3 linked regions of the Tamandua tetradactyla genome follow. The protein of the gene in region 1 purifies or fractionates together with the protein of each later gene. This does not show direct contact. Links are inferred from orthologs where the notes say so. Each region holds a gene or a part of one and is shown in the gene's direction. Other genes may lie near its edges.

Region 1 (8,026 bases):
TGGGAGCCAAGGGAGGGGTGCCAGGAGCCAGGAGGGTGCCTCGAGGAAGGTACAGCCCCCGTTGACCTTGCTCCTGACATGGAGCTGCTTGACTGGGAGGGGCCGTGCCCCAGAGATCAGAGCAGTATTCCCAGGGCCAGCCAGCTACCATCCTGACCCTGGTGACAGTGGCAGGGCAGGGCCGGGCCGGCTAGTGGCTGTGAACCCCCAGGAAGGGGGATGTGGGAGCTCCTGGCTTGGGGTCTGCAAGTTCCTAGGCGTGGCCGTAGACTTGTGGGCACTCTGACCTGGGGGCTGCCTACGGCCTCTGGTATCCCAGCCGGTGGGGGGAGTGGGGACAGGGAGGCTCTGGACGCTGGGTCCTGGCTGGAGCCTGGCCCCTGGGAGGGGTGGGTCTCCTGAGGAGCCCAAAGGGGAGGCCCTGGTTAGGCCACTTGCCGCATGTCCTGAGCCTGCCCGGAGGGGCTGTTGTCACTGGGTCAGCCTCCTGCCTGAGAGCCCCTGCATGGGACTCCATCGGCCCCAGGCCTTTGTGGGCAGGAGGAGCCCCAGGTCTGGATGCGGGCCATGCTGACGTGAGCTCTCTGCCCCCAGATGAAGATTTCCTTCAATGACAAGAGCCTCCAGACCACGTTTGAGTATCCTTCTGAGAGCTCCCTGGTGCAGGAGGAAGAGGCAGACAGGGACGGGGAGGGGCAGCAGGAAGAGGAGGAGGACGAACAGGAGGAGCCATGCTCCGAGGGGGCTGCGGAGAGGCCCTTTGGGCTCTTTCTGCCCCGGGCCAAGTTCGTGAACAGCGTGGGCCCCGAGGGCGCTTGGCTGCCCGACAGCAGCTCAGGTGAGTGCCCCCCGAGGGCCCTGCCCAGGGCCGTGTGCCTGGGCTGCATGTCCACACAAGTGGCCTCCCCACAGGCCTGTCCAGCTACACTCCAAAGCATTCCGTGGCCTTCAGCAAGTGGCCTGAGCAGATGCCAGAGCCAGCTCTGAGTGAAGGGGAGCCGCTCCCAAAGGAGATCATGGTGAGTAGGGGGCCGTCAGGCAGCGAGGGTGTTTCTGGGGCCTGGATGAGTCCCAGGACACCCACTTGTCCATCTCTTTGGCAGCTCACACCCGCCAGTCAGAGTGACCTCTCGGACTTCCGCAGCGAGCCAGCCCTGTACTTCTGACATCTGCACAGCCAAGACGGGCAGGCCAAGCCCCTGAGGTGCCCCATGGGCCAGGCCACGCCTCACTGCCCCACAATACCCCACCTCCCGTTCTGGGCTGCAGGACATGCCAGGACGGAAAGACAGGGCCTGACTGGGTGTCATTCTCTGTGGGTGGGCTCCAAAGTACAGCAGAGTGGGCACTGCCCAAGGGGGAGGGCCAGGAGTCCTGCAGGACAGTGGCCCTGTTTGGAACAAGGCAGGAGCCTACTAAGCCCGGGCTCCCCGCCCCCACCAACTGCCCACCTCCCCTAGCCGAGTCTGTTCTGTCTGACGAATGGACCCAATAAACAGCACTGGACAAGGCTGCCTCTCTTCTCTGGATGGTCTGCTGCCTGGCCTAAAAGCTGCGGGACGTGGCGGGGGAGTGGTAGAGGGCAGGGCTGGGATCTTTGAAGTGCTGTTGCTGGAGGAAGAGGCCAGAGAACAGCAAGGAGTCTACGTGCCCAGACCCTCACCCCTATCCCCAAACCCAGGTCTCCCCTCCCTCACGCCTTTGCCTGGGGTGGGGTGGGGGTGGGCACCTGTCCTGTGTGCTACTCTGGGGGTCAGAGGCCCTGGAGGCCCTTTGGGGAAGCAGCCCACTCCCATCCGGCAGCCTCTCCCAGGGCTGGCTAAGACCTGAGCTCTGGAATTCTGTGATGGGGCTGAGACCTCAGATGCATGTGGTGGGTGCTGGATGGGATGCATAAGAACAGCTCCCTCATGGGTTCAGAGCAAAGAGCTGGGGAGGACCTGAGGACCAAGACAAGGCTGAGTGGGTGCTGCAGAGGGCAAGAGCATGCTAGGGCCTCAGGAATCTCCTCTCACCTGGGCTTGGGGGGGTGAAGCAGGCAGGCAGGCAAACTCAGTGGATTCTGACAGGTGCTGGGGGGAGCCAGGGCTGCCTGCTCTAGATGGGGAGCTTTGCTGGGCTGGTGGCCCCTTAAACATCCTCTCAGCTGTGCATGTGCCTGCTGAGTTGCAGCCATTTACAAATCCATAGACAAATCCTGCTCAGGCTTTGGGTATGAATGTTCATGCCTTTTCAGGAGTCAAACCCAGGAGAAAGGTCATCAGTCCAGGCTTGGGAAGGAGAGATGGTTTTGCCATGTTCTCAGAATCAGTGGGGCCAGCTTTCTTGCGACCTTTTTGGTCAACATACACTTCCAAATCTGCCCAGTCCCCCAGGCCCTTGGTTGCTGCAGCCTCATGAGGCTGTTACACGACTACATGGGGGCATGGAGGAGCCTCATACTAGAGGCCAGGTCCCTTCACATGGAAGAAAAGTGGGTGGCACCCAGTATGTGGTGATGGGGGATGATGTCAGACTCTGGCAGAAGCTTGAGTATAGGGTCCAGAGGCACCTGTGCCTGGTTAGGGGCTGACGTGCAATTGTTTGGCCGTTACAACTTCAAACAAGTTGCAAAGTCTCGCTATAGATACCAGGTCTAAAAGCACTGGGCAGGGTGAGCCACAGTGGCTCAGCAGGCAGAATTCTCACCTGCCATGCTAGAGACTTGGGTTTGATTGCCAGTGCCTACCCGTGCTAAAAAAGAAAAAAAGCACTGGGCAGTAATCAGAGACCTCACAGAACTACTCCAGTGTGCTAGGGTTGAGGGGGAGGACATGTGGCCCTACATGGGGCAGCAGGGACTGGGGCTGATCTGGGCAGGGTGGGCAAAAGTGGGTCTGGTCTGCACCCCTGAGGTGAGAGGATCCTATGATGGGAAAGCCACTCCAGGCTCTCCTCTTGGTAAAACCTACACACAACCCAGGACATGAACAGTAGGCTGATACCCAACTTTGCAAAGAAAACCTTTATTCACAGTTGCTGGGCATAAGGTCTGAGCTCTAAAATCTGGGTTCTGAAGCCCTGGCACCCTCCCACACTGGCCTGGTTGGGGCCTCTGTTGGCTGAGGAGGGCAAGGGGAAGACTCCTGGGGCTCTGGGACTAGACCCTGGGCTCCTCAGCAGTTCAAGAAGGTGAAGGCCTCAGAGAGGGCCCCATGCAGAGCCACCTGGAGCCCTCCCTGCAGCTCGCCATGAGCTTAAGCCAGGCCCTCCCCATCTGCATGGGCAGCTCGTGGGCATTCTTTCCATCCAGGGCAATGGAGGGCGGCAGTTACTGCTGCCAAGGGCAGACACTTTGTGAACAGATCTCCTGGGGGCCATGTCGGCGTGGGGCGGGAGGCAGGCCACCAGTGGCCTCATCAACTATCCTTGCCTCCACTGCTCTTCTGGTCTGATGCTGTGGCCTTGGTCAGATTCCCAGCTTCTCTCTTCAGGATGCTAAGCAGAGTCTGTGAGCTCTCCAGGATCTGAGGCCAGAAGAACAAAAGGTTTGTCACTGCTCCTCAGAGTAGGAAGGTTCCGCAGCCCACCTCACACTCACGGCAAGCAGCATACCAACCCAGAGGTGCTGCAGGGGACGCGCGCTGGCAGGGGGGCAGGCAGAGCCACCGGGATAAAGCTCCTGAGGGCCAGGCACGTCCTGTGTCCGGCCCAAAGCTTGTTCTTCCCCAGCCTGCAGAGCCAGGCAGACTTAGTTTTGACTGCAGCTGTACTCTGGAAGTTCTGTCCCTTGCACTGAACAAAACGGACTGAGTAATAAGTATGGAGCCAAGAACAGGGCCACAACACTGCGGCTCCATACTGGTCCAGGTGCCCCAGTCCCAGAGGCTCCCTGCCCATAGCTGTGTGCTCCTGATGCTCTGCCCCAGAGTCCAAGCGACAGGAACTGAAGCTGCTGCTGGTGGGAACCCCAAGCCACACTTCTCCAGAACGTCCAAGGCTTGCCAGTATCAGCCCTCAGCCCAGCCTGCAGCCCCCTGGGTCCCCCCCCTCCCCCCGGAGCCCCACCTTGAGATAGGCAGCCTCTGTCTCTGCGATGGTCCGGTCAAACTCGTTGCGAGAGGCAATCTTGCGGGCCAGGTTCTCGTTGACCCGGGCTAGTTTCTCAGTCAGCTGCCTCACCTCATTCTGCAGCCGCTGCTTCTCCTCCTCCTCCTGCTGGATCTGCCGGCACAACTCTTCCCGTTTCTGGCACAGCTCCTCGATGCCTAGAGCAGGGGTGGGAAGGAGGCACTGGTGGGGGCTCAGGGTAGGAAGTCACTCGATCCCCCAAACTCGAGAGCCCATCCTTCCAAATTGTGGTGGGTGGAAGGCTAGTCTAAAGTGAGGCCTGGCGGCATCATCGTCCCTCCAAGTAAGGTCCAAGGAACTTCCTAGCAGGGTTTCGGGGTTAAACAAGTCACTGCACAAAGAGCTGTGGACGGCGTGCCTAGGAGCCAGTAAGCGCTCCAGGCACTCCTCTATTTTACTCACTAAACAGGCCCACCGGTCCCAACCGCGTTCATCAGCTTAAATCCAACGGCGACTCTGATCTAAGAAGGCCCCCGCGTCAGCCCCGGCCCAGGCCCGCTCCACCGGCCAGACACCCAGGACGGAGGATACCGGGGGCTCGCCCAAAGCTAAAGCCGCCACGCACCCCACCCACGAGGGCCCTCGCCTCCCCCGCCCGGCACCGGCGGGACACCCAGGCGGGCGGGGCCGCAGGACGGGCGCTCACACTTGACCAGCTCGTTGTTGTAGTTCTGCAGCGCCGCTCCCTGCTGGGTCATGGTCGTCGCACGCCGCCCGATTCCCCGCCAAGTCAACTGCCGCTACCGCCGCCAAGGCCGGCGCCCGCCAGTGTGACGGACGTCGCACCCCCTCCCGAGCGTCATCGCCGCGCGCCGCGCCTGTCCGAGCGTCATCGCCGCGCGCCCCCTCCCGAGCGTCATCGCCGCGCGCCCCCTCCCGAGCGTCATCGCCGCGCGCCGCGCAGGGCCGACCTGGAGCCGGTGGACGCAGATGGCTGCGACAGGGGAGGAGACGGCCTGCGAACCCGGGCCTGGACCGGAGCTGTTGGTGGCCTGGGACACCATGAGCGTCGGGCTAGTGCCACCGGCGGCGCTGGGCTTGGTGAGGCTCGGGAACACACTCACGGGCCCACCTGGGGTTCCTGGGAACCTGTCGCTCTCTAGGGCTTCCAGCCTCGCCCACCGCCGTCCTCCCTCCTTCCCCCACAGTTCTGCCGCGTTCGGCGCCCTTGGCAGCCCATGCCTGGCGACTGCCGGACATCCGTGCGCTGCCGACAAGGGGCGGCGGGGTTTCCACAGCCTTTCCCCGCTCCGCTCCCTTCCCCGCTTCTCCCCTGCCGCTGCCGCCCTTCCCCGCTTTTCGCCTTGTTCCTCTTTTCGCGGTTTTCTGCACTTTAGGCGTCCTCCCGGACCAGCGGTGCGGTCCCGCCGAAGGAAGAGGAGCTCCGGGCGGCGGTGGAGGTGCTAAGGGGCCACGGTTTGCACTCGGTTCTGGAGGAGTGGTTCGTAGAAGTGCTGCAGAACGACCTGCAGGCCAACATCTCTCCGGAGTTCTGGAATGCCGTCTCCCAACGCGAGAACTCTGCCGACGAGCCCCAGTGCCTTTTGCTGCTTCTTGACGCTTTCGGCCTGCTGGAGAGCCGCCTGCACCCCTACCTAAGGAGCCTCGAACTCCTGGAGAAATGGACTCGCCTGGGTCTGCTGATGGGCACTGGTGCTCAGGGGCTACGGGAAAAGGTCCACACCATGGTGCGGGGTGTCCTCTTTTTTTCCACTCCTAGAACCTTTCAGGATATGATTCAGCGCCTCTATGGGCGCTACCTGCGAGTCTATATGCAGAGTAAAAGGAAGGGGGAAGGAGGCACAGACCCGGAACTGGAGGGGGAGTTGGACAGCCGCTATGCCCGCCGCCGATACTACCGGCTTCTGCAGAGCCCGCTGTGTGCTGGGTGCGGCAGTGATAAGCAGCAGTGCTGGTGCCGCCAGGCTCTAGAGCAGTTCCAGCAGCTCAGCCAAGTCCTGTGAGTACCCCTGGGATGGCTGTATCCTCCCCCGGTCCTCCTGAGTCCACATTATTTCTTTGATAGGTCTCTGCAGAGAGCTGATTGAGGGCTCTACCTGCTTTCCTGGCATCTCTGGGCAGTAAGATACACCTTTTCTTCTGGACCCAGAGGTGTGTCTTTCACACTGCTCACACTCAACCCAATACCGGATGTCTTCTCCACTACCACCCCACATGGCTCTTATCTGCAGGAGCCCAAACTTCCTGCGTTGCCCAGAATTCTCCTTGGCCAGTTGTAAGCTCTGTAAAGGAGGAACAGTGTTTGTATTCATGGGAGTACCTAGTTTTTACTGCAGTGGCTGTGAACAGCAGACTGGCTATTTCCTTTTGTGGGGAGATTGGACCAGCATGACAGGCAAGCGGACTTCTTTCCCTGTACTTTGAGAGAAGAGTACTTTTTTTTTTGTTAGAGCCAGATCCTATTACATGAGCCCTCTAGCAACTGTCTCGGTCTCCCCGGCCTGCCTGTGGTGATATTGTCACGTTGAGTGAAGTGGCAGCACTGCAACCGTTTGGGAGATAGCATCTCAGCTGGACCAAGGGAGGAGGCCCTGAAGGGTGTAAATGCTCTTTCTCATCTTCCCTTTGGGCCACCTGTCACTTAGATCAGGGTCTGCACTGAAAAGTACTTAGGTTCACCTGGCAGGGTACTGTTGGCTGCTGTTCCAGAGGCACTCCTAGTAAATGAAGCTTGGCCCCAGGAGCCACACTTACTGCTGCTGGATAGAGGATGCTGTCTGGGTGGGGTGTGCAGCTGCTTCCCAGGGTTCTGCCTTCCCAGCAGCTTTTCCTTGAAGCCCTTGGTACAACTGCCCTTTGAGGCGGCAGTGGGAGCTCTCCCTGCATGGGTGGCAGGTGTGCACTGTGCTCCACATGCGGGGCCGTCCTGGGTTCCCGGGCCAGACATGCGCCAAGTATACCCACTACTCTGCCTTCCAGACACAGGCTCAGTTTGTTGGAACGGGTCAGTGCGGAGGCAGTGACCAGCACTCTGCATCAGGTGACACGGGAAAGGATGGAGGATCGCTGCCGGGGCGAGTACGAGCGCTCATTCCTGCGGGAGTTTCACAAGGTGAGGTGCCCATTGTCCGTGCCTCCACCAGGACTGGCCCTGCCAGAAAGCACTTCATTGGCCACTGAAACCCATCCCTCTTGCCAGGTAGAGGCCAGATCTTCTGGGTCTGTTCTGGTGACAGTGTCCAAGGTCTACGCAGAGCTGCATGGCAGGGGCAGTGCCAAGGGCAGGAGTGGGGAATCCACTTGCTTCTTGACCTTGCTGCCTCCTCTTTGTGGGCTCCACTTCCATCCCTGACAAGGCCCCTACGACCAGCCTGCATGCCTCCATGGGCTGAGCGTTCCTTGCAGGGCAGGGAAGGAGAGCAGAGTCACTGCGGGGGCGGGGTCTGGGGCAGAATGGCGTGGTGGCAAGGTCACCCTTTGCTGAGGGAGGCAGAGCCTTGGTGTCCGCTGTCTGCTCGTAGGCCTGCAGCTTGCCCCAGGGCGCCCTCAGTCCACAGAGGAGCTGGGCTCCTAGTGTGTGGACCTGTTTGCTTCTCGCCGTTCCCAAGGTCCCTGTGGCACACAGTGTTAAAAGTGTTGTCTCCAGAGCTCCAGCCTAGAGTGGGCATGAGCACCAGCAGCCAGCAGAATGAGCGCACTGTTCCCAGGTGGAGAGAACATGGCCTAGGAGGTGGCAGCCTTGTGCATGGGATGGTCTGTGGGCCATGTCCTCATGCCAGTGAACATGTACACTGGTGGTTTGCATCATGCTGTGTCATGTACTGGTCCCATGTCTAATCCCATGTGTGTGGCTGTGTTCACATGGAGGGGGATATGCCTCCCACACAACCCATGTGTCTGTCATTCATGTACCCTGCATTAGGGTCACTGCTGCCTGAGTCAGAGGTAGGGCACT
Region 2 (7,929 bases), on another chromosome or scaffold:
TAGCTCTAGTAGTTTTGCTGTGGATTTTTCAGGGTTTTCGACATATAGTATCATATCATCTGCAAACAGTGAGAGTTTTACTTCTTCCTTTCCAATTTTGATGCCTTGTATTTCTTTTTCTTGTCTAATTGCTCTGGCAAGAACTTCCAACACAATGTTGAATAACAGTGGTGATAGCGGACATCCTTGTCTTGGTCCTGATCTTAGGGGGAAAGTTTTCAGTTTTCCCCATTGAGGACGATATTAGCTGTGGGTTTTTCATATATTCCCTCTATTATTTTAAGGAAATTCCCTTGTATTCCTATGCTTTGAAGTGTTTTCAACAGGAAAGGATGTTGAATTTTGTCAAATGCCTTCTCTGCATCAATTGAGATGATCATGTGATTTTTCTGCCTTGATTTGTTGATACGGTGTATTACATTAATTGATTTTCTTATGTTGAACCATCCTTGCATACCTGGGATGAATCCTACTTGGTCATGATGTATAATTCTTTTAATATGTTGCTGGATTTGATTTGCTAGAATTTTGTTGAAGATTTTTGCATCTATATTCATTAGTTACTGTTTTAGTTACTCTTACTGATAATCTTTCTTTCTATGCTTTCCTCAAAATGTCTCTCTCCTATCTTTTCTTTTCAGCCTGAAGAACTCCCTTTAGTATTTTTTGTAGTGCAGGTCTCTTGTTTACAAACTCTCTCAGTTTGTTTTTATCTGTGAATATTTTAAACTCTCCCTCAAGGACAGTTTTGCTGGATAAAGAATCCTTAATTGCGTTTTTTTTCTTTCAGTATCTTAACGTATCATGCTGCTGCTTTCTCATCACCATAGTTTCTGATGAGAAATCAGAACCTGGTCTTATCGAGCATTCCTTTTATGTGATGAATCGCTTTTCTCTTGTTGCTTTCTGAATTCTCTCTTTGGCAATGGACAGTTTGATTAGTATGTGTCATGGGGTATCTCTGTTTGGATTATTGTTTGGAATATGTTGCTCTTCTTGGATATGTAGATTTATGTCTTTCATAGAAATTGGGAAGTTTTTGGCCATTATTTCCTCAAATGTTCTTTCTGTTCCTTCTCCTTTCCATTCTTCTTGGATAACCGAGAGGCATATATTTTTGCATTTTGCACTGTTTTTCAATTCATTGATAATCCCTACTCAAATTTTCCTGTTCTTTCCTTTATTTGTTCTTTTGTTGGATTTTGAATGTCCTGTCTTTTAGCTTGCTGATCCCTTCTTCTGCCTGTTCAAATCTGTTCTCATATGCCTCTAGTGAAGTTTTAATCCCATCTATTGCACCTCTCATTCCCATAATTTCTATTATGTTTCTTTTGGTACTTTCAAGTACTTCTTTATGCTCACCCAGTGTCTTCTTAATATCCTTTTTCTCTTTAGCCATATTTTCTTCATCTCCTTGAATTAATTTAAGAGGTTTCTTTTAACGTCTTTGATTAGTTGTTCCAAATTATATATCTCCTCTGACTTTTAAAATGTGTTCCTTTGCCTAGGCCAACTCTTTCTGTTTCTTGGTATGGCCTGTAATTTCTTGCTGATATCTGGGCATCTGATTATGTTGATAAGATTATTCTGAAGGTTGGTTTCTCTTTCTTGGCTAAGAATTTGTTGTTGACTGGGTTAGTGTTAAGGTAATTCTTTGCCAGTTATTTTGTCAGTATTTCACAGCCCATACAGGGTCAGGGACCCATACTAGGGACCCACTCCAGTTCCACAGTTCCCTGGGTAATGGCTCAGGAATGATGCCAAAAAAGCTCTTTATTCAGCTCTCCAAAGTTGTGCTTTACTGGCCTGCCCAGCAGATGACTCTTTCCAGCAACTATTCCTGCAACCCTAGGAAAACAAGGTATTTTGGGACCTCTTGATTCCACCTCTGACACTAGTCAAAACAATGGCACAGCATCACCTGTTTGGGATGGACTAAAGCAATGGGACCCAGCTGTCTAAATTCATGAGGCAATAGCTGCATCAGTACTGAGCCATGTCCCCTTTTGTTGTTTGGGAAGAGGACTTCTGCAGCCATCCTATTCTGCAGCAGCCTACTAGGTAGGAATCAGGCTGACTCAATGCTCCTGGCTTAAACTGTGTGGGCTGGGCACCAGAAGCCATGGCAGCCTGAGTTACTCACAGTTTTCATAACTTTCTCTCTCTCAGTAGGACCCTTTGATGAGGTCACTTCAGTTAAGGTATAGCCCAACTCAATCTGGATGGATCTTAATCCTATCACTAGAGCCCTTTATAAGGACAGTGAAATTCAAACAGTTAGAGAATAAGCCACTGGAGGCAAGAAGCTGAAGGTCAGTGTAACCCAGAAGAGAAGGGAGAGGCCAGGAGAGGCCACCATGTGCACTGCCATGTGGCAGAGGAGTCCAGGACCAAGAATCACTTGGCAGCAGCCAAGCTCAGAACCCCATAATCTCCAGGGAGAAAGCTTCACCTTCACTATGCCTTGATTTGGGCTTTTTCCTAGTCTCAAAACCATGAGCTAATAAATTCCTATTGCTTAAGCCAACCCATCGCATGGTATTTGCTTAAGAAGCCAAGAAAACTTAAAACTCCCAGCAATTCCACTGCTAGGTACTTACTCTAAAGAACTGAAATCATGGACTTGAAGCGAGAATTGTACATCAATGTTTATCATGGTGTTATTCACAATGGCCAAAATGTGGAACAAACCTAAATGTCCATCAGCAGATGAATGGATAAACAAAATGTGGCATATCCATACAGTGGAATCTTTTTCTGTCATTAGTATAAATGAAGTGCTGATGCATACTACATAACATGGATGAACCTTGAAGACATGTTGAGCGAAATAAGCCAGACACAGACGGGCAAATCTAGCATGATTTCTCTGATATGAAATTCTTACAATATTTAAATTCATAGAGACAGAAAGCAAGGCAGTGGTTACTTGTGTGGTGGTGATGGAGGATGGGGAGTTATTGCTAAATGAGAAGGAGTTTTTGTCTGGGATGACCAAAATAGTCTGGAGACAGATAGTGGTGGAACTTACAAACTGTTGTCAAAGAATTGTCCATTTAAAATGTTTAAAATGATTGTTATATTATTATATGGCCACAATTGTGTATATTACCACAATTTTTTTAAACCTTTTTTTTTTTTAAAAAAAGGATACTAAGTGACAAAGATGGGATTTGAACTCAGGCAGGCTGGTGCCCACATCCCCCTAAAGAATACCTGTATGTCTGCTACTTAACTTTATCAGTCCTAAGTGTTTTGCCACAGTTGAAGCTCCCATACATACTTTCCTCACCTCATTCCCACCCACTTTTCCTATAGGTAATCTCTATCCTGATTGATGTTTATCATTTCCATGAATTTCTTTATGATTTTTTAAAGGTGTGCATATCCATATATAATATATAATATTGTCTTGTGTATTTTTGAACTTTATTTAAATGATAGCACACAGTGTTATAGTTATGGGACATTTAATTGCTTCCCTGGTTCTTGTACACATTTGAATTTGTGACCCAATATATTTAGTCACTGTATAATGAAGGAATTTGGAGTCAGAACACCTGACTTAAACAGCCATTTAACGGGTGGCCCATGATGGCAGAGTTCTCATGTGCCATGCCAAAGACCTGGGTTCATTTCCCAGTGCCTGCCCATGTGAAAAAAAAAAAGCCATTTAACAACCCAGGCACAAAATTTAAGTAGACAGCCTCCTTACCTGTAAAAAGGTAATGGCGAGTTCAACCTGATAGATTGATTGATTTGTGAACATCCAATGCAAAAAGTGGTGTAAATCTTTCGTAAAATACTGACTGTGTTGGACAAATGCTGATTAAGGATACCAGCTCATTCTTGGACCTAGCCTTTATTAATGCTGGCTCGCCAATCATTTCACAGGGTAAGCTATGCCCCTTCCCACCCCAGTCAGCTAATGTGCAGGCAAAGCAAGAACACAAAACACTTTGGAGGAGGTGGGGTGTGGTGCCTTCACCCTGCTAGGCAGGCCGATGGGGAATGCAGTTAGGACTGCCCTGGCTCTTGGTTAAAATATTTAATGACAGCTGTTGGGAATTGTGTCACACCCTACTATGTTTATTTTTATTTATAAGAGTCCACCTCGTTTTATTCGTTACTGAGAGGCACAAATTCCTCTTAGACTCATCTGATTTCACTTGAGCTGCTTCTGATACCAATCAAACCCGGGGATCTCTGCCCGAGGTGCCTCACAGCCGATCTATGACACTGGGTTTCAAAGGGAGAAAGAGTTTACTGCAAAGCGAAGCCAGGAGAACAGATATGGCCCGTGGGCCCAGACTCTCTCTCCCCTTCCAAGGAGTCAAACAGTGTTTTGATGGATTCACCCAAGGGGAGGTGGAGTTACTATTACGATTTACAAATGTAAAGGAGTGGAACCAGGCTGGACCTAAGCTAGACTAACCATTACCATAACAAGTATGAACCCCGCAGTTAGTTCAGGGCTGCCTCAAGTTTCTTCCTTAACATCAGGGGGTTGTCTTTGTGATAAGTGTCTAAATTTGTAAAACAGGGTAAGGGGTTACAGCAGGGCCAGTCAAGAGGTTTTTACAGTTCGAAATTTAGTGGATTTCAGTAACTGACTATTCTACAACATACCAGAAGGTAAGAAAAAGGCGTCTGTATAACGATTCAGTCATCATTTTTTGTTAAATCTTAATATCTCGGTTAGATTCCTACTGAGGTGCCTTTTGTCCAACCCAACCCATTTTAAGCCGTCAATAAAACCTGCTGTTTAGCATGCGGATGTTATTATTGCTCAAAAAATAAAGAACCCGTGTCATTCTACCACGCCGGGTAGGCGGGGTAAGGAGGGCGCTCTGATTTTTACGCAGGCACCGCGCTGGGCGCCCGCGCGCTTGGGGGCGGAGCCGCCGGTGGACCCGATGGACCCCGGCGGGGCTGCCATTTTGGCGCCTTCCCTGAGGCGCTCCTACCGGCCTCTGGTGCCGCCGCCGCTGCCGCCGTTAGCGGCGGCTCTGTGTGCCAGGATGAACGTGATAGACCACGTCCGGGACATGGCAGCCGCGGGACTGCACTCCAACGTGCGGCTCCTCAGCAGCTTGCTACTTACAATGAGTAACAACAACCCGTGAGTCGAGGCGGGGAGTGGTCTGGGGCTGAGGAGAAAGCGGCGCGGGTTTGGGAGCCGGGGCTGCGGGGGTCTGGGGTCGGGCGGGACGGATGGGGACCGCGGGCCCCGATCGAGGGTGCAGGGTCAGCGAGGGCCTCGTCGCACGGAGCCGGCTGCGGGGCGCGAGCTGTTTACTAGGCGCCTGCGTTGCGCCCGGCTTTGGGATGTTGCGAGCGGCGGCGGCTCGGAGGATGGGAGGCAGGAGGTGCTGAGAACCTCTTGAGGGTCCGGCGCCCCAGACCTTGGGCGCCGGAGTTTTCCAAGGCACCTGGCGCTGAGCGGAGCGGCTGTCGCGTCGCTGGATTGAATCCCCCTCTCCCGGCTCCTTCACAGAAAATGTTTTCCCTCTCTCGCCGCAGCTCAGATTGGCCCAGCCTCCCGGATTGTATACACTCGCTCCCAAGTAAGATGGATGTATTCCCTCGGGTGTATCTGGAGGGTCCACTTTGTCGCCTCGGCATGCCCCCGAATACGGAACACTCCCTGGGTGGGTGGGCGTGGCGCCTCTTTGACTTGCACGAGATGCCATAGCCTGGCCCTTTCCGGGTTTTCCGAGCTTCCTTTTGTGGAATCTCAGTAAGGAAGAACCAAAGGTCCAGAGAGTCTTTCTCTGACCACCAGCGTAACCTCTGCTGTATCTCATTGCCCTGTTTTATTTTCTGCATGGCTTTTACCGCCTAATGAAGTTATTTATTTCATTTGCATCTGCCTCTCCTGCTAGACAGCAAGGACCATGAGGACAGGTGCCTCATCCGTTTTGTTCACTGCTATAGTCCCCATCACCCAACAGGGTGCCTGGGGGGCAGTGATCGCATACATGTTTATTGTACGTCATAAGAAGTGGGTTCAACCTAGTACCTTGTCGAATTTCACACATCTGGAAAGTGGAGGAGCCAGGACTGGACCTTGGGCCCCTCTGACTCTAGAGTCTATCTGTTCTGACCCACCCCAGACTAAAAGGCATTGTACTGAATCTTCTGTGCAGTGTGGATTCCCTGCAGTTGGCATGCTCCAGAAGCTGTTTAGGTCAGCAAGGAAAGGCCCTAAGTGCATGCAGTGCAGACACTGCTCCCCATTTCATTCCCGTTAGTGTAATTTGGACCTCACTATGTGAGACTCATAATTTTGCCAGCCGCTTAGAGTTGACAGTGAGGAGGCCTGGTCTCTGTCAGGCTTCTGTGTTTATTTTGGAGCCTTTCATTTGGTTTCCAGTGATTTTCCAAGGCATTTGGTTTCACCATTGAGGATTTATGCAACATTCCGTCAATACTCTAAGTTCTTAAAGATGTTACAGGATACTCTGAAGCAGTTTGGTCCTCTGGCTAGACTAAGTTTACATAGCCCAGGCTGTGTGTCATACTGGGGACCAATAGTTTTCTAGTTTCAGGAGGTGTTTTAGGTTCTGACCTTTATCATTTGCATTTTAAATTAACTTATTGAATATGTAATACACATACTGCTAAAAAAATTTTTTTTAAAAGATACAAATAGTGCAGAAGGGATTTGCAGGTAATTGTCTGTCCCTGAACCATTTCCCTTCTCTAGAGGCAACAGCAATTGAGTTTCTCATGTATTAGTCTAGAGATAATCTCTGCATGTATATGTAGGCATGTATGTTACATTATATAAAAATCTAAATGAAATTCTTGTATGTAGTAATATTTTGTTCTTTATCCGAGGTCTTTATTTTTCACTAAATATATAGAATCTCAGAGTTAGTTAAGTCATCTGGTCTGTACTTTTTGGTCCGTGAATTTCCTTTGTAACTTTCTTTTTTTATTAATTTTTTATTTTTTTATTATGATCATTCCATTCTACATATATAGTCAGTAATTCATAATATCATCACATAGTTACACATTCATCATCATGATCATTTCTTAGAATATTTGCATCAGTTCAGAAAAAGAAATAAAAAGACAACAGAAAAAAATTCATACATACCATACTCCTTACCCCTCCCTTTCATTCATCACTAGTATTTCAAACTAAATTTATTTTAACATTTGTTCCCCCTAATTATTTTTATTCCATATGTTCTACTTGTCTGTTGACAAGGTAGATAAAAGGAGCATCAGGCACAAGGTTTTCACAATCACACAGTCACATTGTGAAAGCTCTATCATTATACAATCATCATCAAGAAACATGGCTACTGGAACACAGCTCTACATTTTCAGGCAGTTCCCTCTCCAGCCTCTCCATTACATCTTGACTAACAAGGTGATATCTGTTTAATGCGTAAGAATAACCTCTCTAGACTCTGTTTGGAATCTCTCAGCCATTGACAGTTTATTTTGTCTCATTTCACTCTTTCCTCTTTTGGTTAAGAAGGTTTTCTCAATCCCTTAATGCTGAGTTCCAGCTCCTTCTAGGATTTCTGTCCCACGTTGCCGGGAAGGTCCACACCCCTGGGAGTCATGTCCCACGTACACAGGGGAAGGGTGGTGAGTTTGCTTGTTCTGTTGGCTGGATAGAGAGGCCACATCTGAGCAGCAAAAGAGGTTCTCTTGGGGGGTGACTGTTAGACCTAATTTTAAGTAGGCTTGATCTATCCTTTGTGGGGTTAAGTTTCATATGAACAAGCCCCAAGATTGGGGGCTCAGCCTTTTGCTTTGGCTGTCCACACTGCTTGTGAGAATATCAAGAATTCAACTTGGGAAAGTTGAATTTTCCCCCTTTCTCACCATTCCTTTGAAAATACTTTTTATATTCACTGTTCAAATCACTCTGAGATTTATGGGGCATCGCTCTGGACAAACCAG
Region 3 (8,067 bases), on another chromosome or scaffold:
CCCTTGCTCGGCTGGGCTCCCTGGAGAGCCAGGATCCTTGGCTTGCTCATCAACCCATTATTGGTCTGTGGATCCGCACCTGGCCTGCATGGCGTGGGTCGAGTGGCAGGTGGTGGCTCTGCGGCAAGGGTGCAGGCAACTCAGGGCAAAAGTTCACCGTTACTCAAATACCCTCCTTCCCATATGACACACTGGTTCTGGAAGCCCGCCCTGCAGCAGGGTGTGGCAGTAGCCTCACTAGGTGGCAGCCGGAGTGCATGCTGGGTGAGCTTCGGGAGCCATGTCTTGCTGACTGCTTGCAATTCCGTTCTCTGATTCCCCCTAGGAGATGGGGATGTCCCAGCTATCAGAAGGAACATGACTTAGGAGTTGCATTCTCTTCCCTCTACCTCAGGTCTTCCTCACAGCCAATGGCTTTCTGCGTGTCCCGCTCTTCACCTGCCTTTGGGCCCTCCACTGGGCAATGTCCCGCAGAGGGAGGAGGTGAAGTTCCAGAAAGAGACCCCTGGGTGGCCTCCATAGGATGTCCTGCCCTCTGGGTCCCCCTGCTCAACAAGGGCCACAGCAGGCTCTGCTCCACCTGGGTTGCCAAGGGGTCCTGCCTGTTGAGACCACACATCACAGGTGCCTGACGCCCTGTCACTGTTCTGTTGGTCAAATTTGATTTTCGATTCTGCCACAGCTTCCATGAGCTTCCCAGCGACCACCTTACCAAAAACACGATTAAGAGAAGGAACACCCTTATACCTTGCACCGCAGCAATGCAGAAAACAGCAGGGAACACAATCGGACATTATGAGGTTAGGATGGTGAATTCAGGTTTGAGGACACAAACACAAGGAAAAAGAAAGGTCCACCCTAGTGCCCTGAAATCTGTGGAAAACACAGGTGCTCTGCCCCCTGTCCCATGCCCTCACCTCTAGGTGCAGGTGCAATGACAGGTAACTCCAGGTAAAGGACTGCTACTGCTCTGGGTCCTCCCACCCACTGAGTTAGAGAGGACTTAAGAACAGCAGGAGCAGAAACAGGAGAGTGTCAAGATAAAATTCTCCTGGAGCACAAACTCTAACCCCCAGGCCAAGGTGCCAAAATGTCAGATAGGATTGCCTCTCCCCACCCAGCTCCACCCCACCCCACCCGGGCAGACCCCGGGCCTCTGGCCCAGGGGAGCACCCAACAACGGCACAACAAAACCATTCCAGCTCTACACACATTTCCATTTTATTATTATGGCAAAGGTGAAAACGCCACCTTCTCCACAACAGCAACCAGTAAAATTTATCCCAAAAATAACTCAGTACAAAACAGGTCTGTTTCAGAATTTAAAAAAAAAAGAAAAGGAAAAAAAAACAAACAAAAAACAACAACCTTTACATGAGCTTTAAATCCTACTTTAAAACATAAAAGAAACAAATCCATGGCTGCACACAGCCCTCCGCCCCCCACTCCGGGGCATGCGGATGAGCCGTCGGGGCCTGCTCCACGCACGGACTTGGGGTCTGCTCAGCTGGTGTCCATCTGAAACAGAACAGGAGAGGTTGTCACTGGGAAGCAGTCCCCATTTCCCAGCCTCGCTTGGGCTGCTCCCTCCCTGTACACACACCCCTGGACTTACTCGGGCATTATAAGCATCCAACTGGGCATCCAACTCCTCCGCAGAAAGCTGCTGTTTTGAACTCCTGCCAGCTCCTCTGCCTCTTCCCCGGCTGCCTCCGCGGGTGCCTCTCCGAGGGCCACCGACACCTCCGAAACCTCCAGAGCCACGGCTTCGCGTCATTCCGCCTCTGTTTACACTGACGAGGAACAGAGGAGTTGCTCACACTCGGTCAGGCCCCAAGGATGGACACCACCATATGCCATAGGCCTACCCCCACTGCTCCATGGGCCCCAGAACTCACCTCTGTGCAGGTCTCCGCTGCGTGTCAATCTGTGATGTGACGAGTTGAATGTTCATGGGGCGGCCTACAGCAAACAAAGAGCACAGTTGCCAGATAGAGGTCATGCCTAATCTGAGGGTGCCCTACCTGGTCTTCATGCAAGCACTGCAAAGGGTTCTTGTGCTGTGTCAAACACTTCCAACAAGGGAATGACCTGGAAATACTGGTAGGGGAACAAAAAGGCAATAAAAACAACCCCCCCAAGGCCTCCTCTTTGCTCTCAGCCCAGTCTAGGTGGGAGGAAGAGGGTTCTGACGAGGAAAATGGTACCTCTGTCTCTAGACTACAACCTGCATTCAGAAGTTTACTATGGCAGTTCTGAGAAGGCTTCCCAGAACTTCCGGATGTCCAGATGTAAGGGACAGCATGCAAGGCAGTAGAATGGAAGAGACAAAGGGGCAAATGCAAAGCGTCCCTGGCCACAGAGCTCAGCCATATCCCTGCGTGGACAAGTGCCACCCCCAAACTCTACCCTTCGTGTACAACCCTGCAGCCATACTGGTCCAAACCCAAACTCACCATCTAAAGGGACACCGTTGTATTGTTTCATAGCCTTCAGAGCGTCAGCCTTCCGTTCAAAGTGCACATCTGCTGTTCCTAAACTCCGGCCAGATCGGTCGTAGTGCACAGCAGCCTTTTTCAGAGTTCCAAATTCAGCAAAGAGTTCCTGGGAATTGGAAAGAGCAGACTCGTAAGCAGAGCTGTTTCCCTTTAGTGTCCCAGGGATGGTCCCTGGAAGTGAAATCTGCTTTGGGGGTGTTTCCCTGGGAGGCAGCCATGTACACAGGGGCAGGGCAGTGGGAACTGGGGGAAGGGATGGGGTGGGTAGGACAGCAACTTCCAAAGCACCTGGGTCTGAGGGCTCCTGCCAACTGAGGGACTTGAAATCTATAACTCGATGCAGGGAAAGGAAGTTGCAGGAACCCACAAGTGAAGGGCACAAAATTAAGCCGCTCTCCTTTTTGACAAAAGAAAATTTACAACTCTCCCAAGAACTGTTCCAAGAAACAGCGAAGGCCTAGATCACACAGCAAGGGAAGCTGCCCAACATTCCAGGACAGCTTGAAGGGCCCCTTGATTTGGGAGCCCTAACCCCAGTCCCTCCCCCGAAGGCAGATTCTGGCTCACCTTTCCCTCTCCTCCTACTCAAGCCTGCCGCAAAGTCTGAAGTCAAGCGCTGCCATGGAAACTGCCCTGACCTCAGGCAGGCTGGGAGTTGGAGAGGGAACCCAGAGTGTGGGGCTACTCCGGCCGCAGGCACACAGCGGGAAGTGGAGTCACCAAAAGCGGTTTCCAGTGGCTGCCAGAAACCACCTTAAAAAAAGTGTTGAGACACTGTGAGTGCTCACCGGCCTTGCTCCGTCCTCCCACGGCAAAGCCCAATGGCCATGCTCTGGGAGATGCAACCCAGGAAGGCCCAGCACCCTGACCCAGCCATCTCCAAGACTGATCCCCAAGAAACTGTTTCTTTACCAGAAAAACAAGTTTAAATTCCTTTAGGTTCAATAAAAAACAAAAAACAAAAACAAAAACCAGTCTTCAACCAAAGATGAGCTTAGAACCAAACCACTGACAAAACCTGGGGGGAGCGGCAGGGGACGGGGTGGGGGTGGTACCACTGGGCCACAAGTCATACTTGATAGAAAGCCTCAAGGCCAACAGAGCTGAAAAACCACTAAGACCCTACTTCTGTACTTTGTTAGTTAAAACGTGTGTGTGTGTGTGTGTGTGTGTGTGTGGATTCTTCTCCCAATAGATCATTAAAACAGCAACAAAACAAGGAAAGCAAGCAGCCAGAAGTAGAAAGCTCTGCAGGGGATTTTCAGACACCAAAAACACGTTTTTGCAAAAACTAATACACTAAGGTCTTATCTTCTAACAAACACTGATTCACTTATTCAACTTTCAACTTTTCCTGACCACTGCTGGGCAGGGTCTCTCCTGCAGCCCCTTACACGGAAGCAGTGGCTATTTCTGGGGCAGCTGGGAGGGCTTCCTTTCCTAAGGCGGGAACAGGATTCAGGGCCCATGACAAACACGATTAGTTCTGTGCAAGGTGAACTACTCACGGAGACGCTTCCGTTTCTTACCTGAATATCAGCGTCTGATACTCCAAAATCCAGATTTGACACCAGCAGTTTCCCACCGGTCTCCACGCCGGCACCTCCTCCAAAGCCGCTGTCGAACAGATCGTGTTGCCACTTATCGGGAAGCTGTTTTGGCTGAAAGAGAAAACCCCATAGAACAGAAAAAGACCGGTGAGTCTCACTCTAGGGCTTTTCCTTGCCCTCAGGGCTCATCCCAAGATCCTGCTCCCTTCCTCAACCGGGCCCTGGGAGAAATCGCCGAGAAGGGGCCTCTGGCCCTTCCCTCCCTGCCCCGGCCCGAGACCCCGACGGTCCCGCCGCTTCCGCGCAACTTCTCAGGTTCCCTTCAACTAACTTCCCGCCGCCGGTGCGGCCGCGCCCAGCGTTCCCTCCGCTCCCAGCCGCCATGAGGTTGCAGCGCCCGGATGAGACAAAGAGGCTGAGAAGGTCTGAGCCTCCCGGGGCCAACCCCAGGCCGCGCGACCTCCCCGGCGTCTACCACACCCGCCGGCTTCGGGACCAGCTGCCAGGCCTCGGGGCCAGCCCTCTCCACTCGGCGCTCCCGCGGCCTGCCGGGCCGGGCCTCAGCGCACTCCGCGCCCCGCAACCCCAGTGGCCTTCGCGTCCACTCACCCTGCTGTAGGGCGCCGGCCGGTTCCTGCCGCCGCCGCCAGCTGCGCCGCGGGCGATGGCCGGCCGGTTCCGGATGGACCCGCCGCCTCGATTCACGCGCGCGGCGGCCTGCGCTCCGCCGCCGCGGCCGCCCTGGGAGCCGGCCCGACCGCGGCCCCGGCCCCCGCCGCGGCCGCCTCGCTGGCTCCGGTTCAGCTTAATGATGTCGTCCAGAGACATATCCATTTTGTCGGCCATGGCGGGCGCGGAATCGGGCCTCGGTTCGAGCGCGCGCGTCAGCACGCCGGGGCGTCACTTCCTTCGCCGCGCGGGGACTTCCGGAGTCGCGGCCCCGGAGCCGCTGTCGATTGGCTGACGGCGAGCGGCTAGTCGCGCGAGGCGGGGAGGCGCGTGCGCAGCGAGGCGCACAGCTCGGCGACCTCAGCCCGACTGGTGCTGGGCTGCGGCTGCTGTCGTTTTTATACCTTCCCGCGCGGACGCTGGCGCCACAACGGCCGACGGGCGGGGCCGCGTTGCGTAGGATTAGGTTAGGGAAGGGGCGAGGGCGTCCTGGGTTGGGCGGGGGCCGTTGGGGGCGGGGCCTGACGTGCCCGTCCCTCGGGCTGGGGGCGGGGCCCCTGGGACGCCCCCGAGCTCTCCGCGCTCTCGGTCGCGTCCTGAGCCGGATGCCCGGCGGGCACCGCGGCTTGTTTCCCCGCCGTTTCTCACGGGACCGCCCGGCCGACCGTCTCCAGCGATTCGTCTTTCAGGGCCTAGCGGTTGCCCCGGGCAGGTATGGGGGTCGGGGGTACAGACTCATGCGTCTGTTTGTGCCTTTTCGAGAGTTAAAAATCTCACAGCGTGCGCGGTTTGGGGCTCCATCCCCCAAGTTAGCCACGGTCATTTGTTTGTTAGTTGTGTCCTTTTTGGAAGTGTCGTGTGACCTGTTTACAGGGCGTTAAGGAAAGCAGCAGCCCTTTCGTGAATGTCCAGGTCTCCGTAGTTACCGTAAACGCGAGGCAAAGCCAAACTCTCCAAAGCCGTGGTCCCAAGTCTGATGCCCTCCTTGCCAGCGCGAGCTGAGGCCCCTTTTCAGGGCTTTCTTTCCCTCTGGGCCCCTAAAGACACGGCTAAAGGAACCTTTAAGAAACCCCGGGTGCAAAGCCAGGCACTCCGCTCCCCTTGGCCTTGGCCGGTGGCTGCTCCCCTGCAGCGCGGGCCCTCTTGGCTGGGAGAAGCACGCCCTGGGAGCCTTAGTGTTCTAGCTCTGTAGACCGGATTCACCAAGGTAACCCTCTTCCCATCACAGCCATGAAGGTGAAGATCAAGTGCTGGAACGGCGTGGCCACTTGGCTCTGGGTGGCCAATGACGAGAACTGCGGCATCTGCCGGATGGCCTTCAACGGCTGCTGTCCCGACTGTGAGTGCCTCCCTCTTGGCAGTGCTGTTTGAGCCTACTTGCCTGACATTGTCGTTTCCTGAAAGTACCTGGGTAAAATCCCTGGGTTTTAATTTTGTTTTCCTGAAGAAAAGGTGACAGGAAAAAAAGGCAAGCAGTTTGGGCCCATGTTTTTATAAAGATCGAGGCAAAAAAGTTTTATAAGAAAAGCCAGTGCAGCATTTTATTGTAATCAAACTCAGCAATGAGACACACAAGACAAAAACAGATCTAAGACTTTTTAGTTTGAAAATTTCAAACAAACTAGCAAAAAAGGTAAAATAGCATAAGGAACACCCCCTTATCCCCTCCCCCTCCCACCCACGCCAGGGAATTAACAATGAATAGCCTTTATTTCTATTTTAAAGTCAGATTTATTGAGTTTTAACTTATATTATAAAACTTGCCATTTGTAGGTATGTGGTTTGTTGGCTTTTTTTATTAGAGAAGTTGTAAGTTTATAGAAAAATCACTCATAAGATGAAGTGTCTTTTAACATCTTTGCTGAAGTATTTTCAAGTATAAATGTAGAGCAATCCTTTCTCAACCCCACACCATTCTTCAATTCATTTAAACTTAAAAACAGGGCATGTTGCTTGCAGAATCTACTTTATTGGATTTTTCTTTGTAATGTCTTTTGGTTTGTTCCATTAAATTCTGTAAAGAGAAAATATTTGATTAGGTTTAGGGCAAGAGCAGATTTTCACACCAGCAAATTTACATGCTAGTCAGATCAAAAGGAACAGCAAGCAGAAACAAGGCTCAGGGCTTTGGCCAGGGAGGACAAGGACCCTGAAAGGAAAAAGGAGTGTATAGGGCTGGCAGTCCCTCCTCACTGCCCCACCAGTGACCAAACCTGTTCTGGGGCCGATCAAGAGCCCAGAAACATCATAGAGCTTTACTTCTTAAAATGACAGTCAGATGAATGAATTTAGTACAAATATCACTTTATCCTATCTTTGATCCTATCTGCCCTAGCTGAAGGGAGATCTTATCACTACATCTTATTTACATCAAATGATTACATCAATCAAGAGATGATTGAGTCTACATCACAGCAAACGTCTAACAACTAAACTGAAAGTGGTCTAGCTATATTTAAACTTTCTTAAATTGCCCTTCAGAGGGTACAGCAAAGATTCTGGAAGTTTAAGAGGCAAGAGCTTAGAACTTCCAAGGCAGTAGGCTGCTTAGCTTTCATAAATGTGCTGGTGGTGCCCGAGGGTGTGGATTGTGCTGGTACTGGTGCAAGCTCCAGCAGGCCTGGGCAGCCTGTGCCCCAAACACAGTGGTGGCAGTCACCTGTATAGAGCCTGCAGGCCCATCCTGAACCCCAGCTGGCTGCTCCTGTGCCCTGCACATCCAGACAGGGCGCTGTTCTGAGAACTACAGTGGCTCTACCTTTGCGTGGGCCCAGTAGTTTGCAAATGGGGCCCATTGGCTATGGAGGATGATGGACACAGGGTCTCAATTTGTGCCATGACAAGTCTAAGGGGACTCCTGTATGTGAAAAGTGGCAGCAATTCCTCTTGCCAGCATCGAGCTCCTGTTATAAACCCAGAGTGACTAAGGGGTAGGAGACTTGCCCCCACCGCAGAGGGCCTTGGGAGTACACAGTCCTGCCCAGAGGTGTTCCGGTTTATAAAAGACCTCCTTTGACGCCCAAGCTAAACTAGTGCTGTGTGAGTCATCCTTGTGTTCAGTTATTCACCAAGTATCCGAGGCAAGTGGCTGTGTTACTCAGATGAAGCGGCTCTTCCATGTAGATGAACCGCCCCCCATAGGTAGACAGAGTGGCCCTACCTCCTCCCCAGGTAGCAGCTCCCTCTGTCCCAGGGAAAACTAACTGGAAAGAGGCCACATCAAGTCTTCTTTTCTGGGAAGGTTGAAAGGCCCCCTGGGGCCAGGAAATGTGAGATCCTGGTACAGGGTCCCCTGCCCCCTGTAATCTTGCCAGGGAGGGAGAGAGTGATGGGTCAGCGTGTGGGACGAG

Evidence for each region.
Region 2: the proteins of ANAPC2 (region 1) and ANAPC7 fractionate together in Homo sapiens (co-fractionation; 6 studies listed by BioGRID and IntAct, with this or other methods). This does not show direct contact. The link is inferred for Tamandua tetradactyla from reciprocal best matches to the Homo sapiens genes ANAPC2 and ANAPC7.
Region 3: the proteins of ANAPC2 (region 1) and ANAPC11 purify together in Homo sapiens (affinity purification with western blotting; 7 studies listed by BioGRID and IntAct, with this or other methods). This does not show direct contact. The link is inferred for Tamandua tetradactyla from reciprocal best matches to the Homo sapiens genes ANAPC2 and ANAPC11.

The regions. Positions count from the first base shown.
Region 1 is NC_135328.1:130,759,929-130,767,954, forward strand, and holds the start of ANAPC2 (anaphase-promoting complex subunit 2), read left to right. Parts: upstream 1-4,997; 5' UTR 4,998-5,040; coding exon 5,041-5,151; intron 5,152-5,447; coding exon 5,448-6,070; intron 6,071-7,050; coding exon 7,051-7,183; intron 7,184-8,026. Other genes in the region: TPRN (taperin), read left to right, coding at 595-838, 913-1,019, 1,104-1,166; microtubule nucleation factor SSNA1, read right to left, coding at 3,399-3,506, 3,599-3,712, 4,048-4,247, 4,757-4,808. UniProt on the Homo sapiens protein: Together with the RING-H2 protein ANAPC11, constitutes the catalytic component of the anaphase promoting complex/cyclosome (APC/C), a cell cycle-regulated E3 ubiquitin ligase that controls progression through mitosis and the G1 phase of the cell cycle.
Region 2 is NC_135331.1:11,114,614-11,122,542, reverse strand, and holds the start of ANAPC7 (anaphase-promoting complex subunit 7), read left to right. Parts: upstream 1-4,910; 5' UTR 4,911-4,916; coding exon 4,917-5,122; intron 5,123-7,929. UniProt on the Homo sapiens protein: Component of the anaphase promoting complex/cyclosome (APC/C), a cell cycle-regulated E3 ubiquitin ligase that controls progression through mitosis and the G1 phase of the cell cycle.
Region 3 is NC_135332.1:74,073,181-74,081,247, forward strand, and holds the start of ANAPC11 (anaphase-promoting complex subunit 11), read left to right. Parts: upstream 1-5,048; 5' UTR 5,049-5,183; intron 5,184-5,238; exon of another isoform or gene 5,239-5,429; intron 5,430-5,945; 5' UTR 5,946-5,947; coding exon 5,948-6,056; intron 6,057-8,067. Other genes in the region: ALYREF (THO complex subunit 4), read right to left, coding at 1,504-1,518, 1,616-1,793, 1,899-1,962, 2,457-2,604, 4,028-4,159, 4,658-4,894. UniProt on the Homo sapiens protein: Together with the cullin protein ANAPC2, constitutes the catalytic component of the anaphase promoting complex/cyclosome (APC/C), a cell cycle-regulated E3 ubiquitin ligase that controls progression through mitosis and the G1 phase of the cell cycle.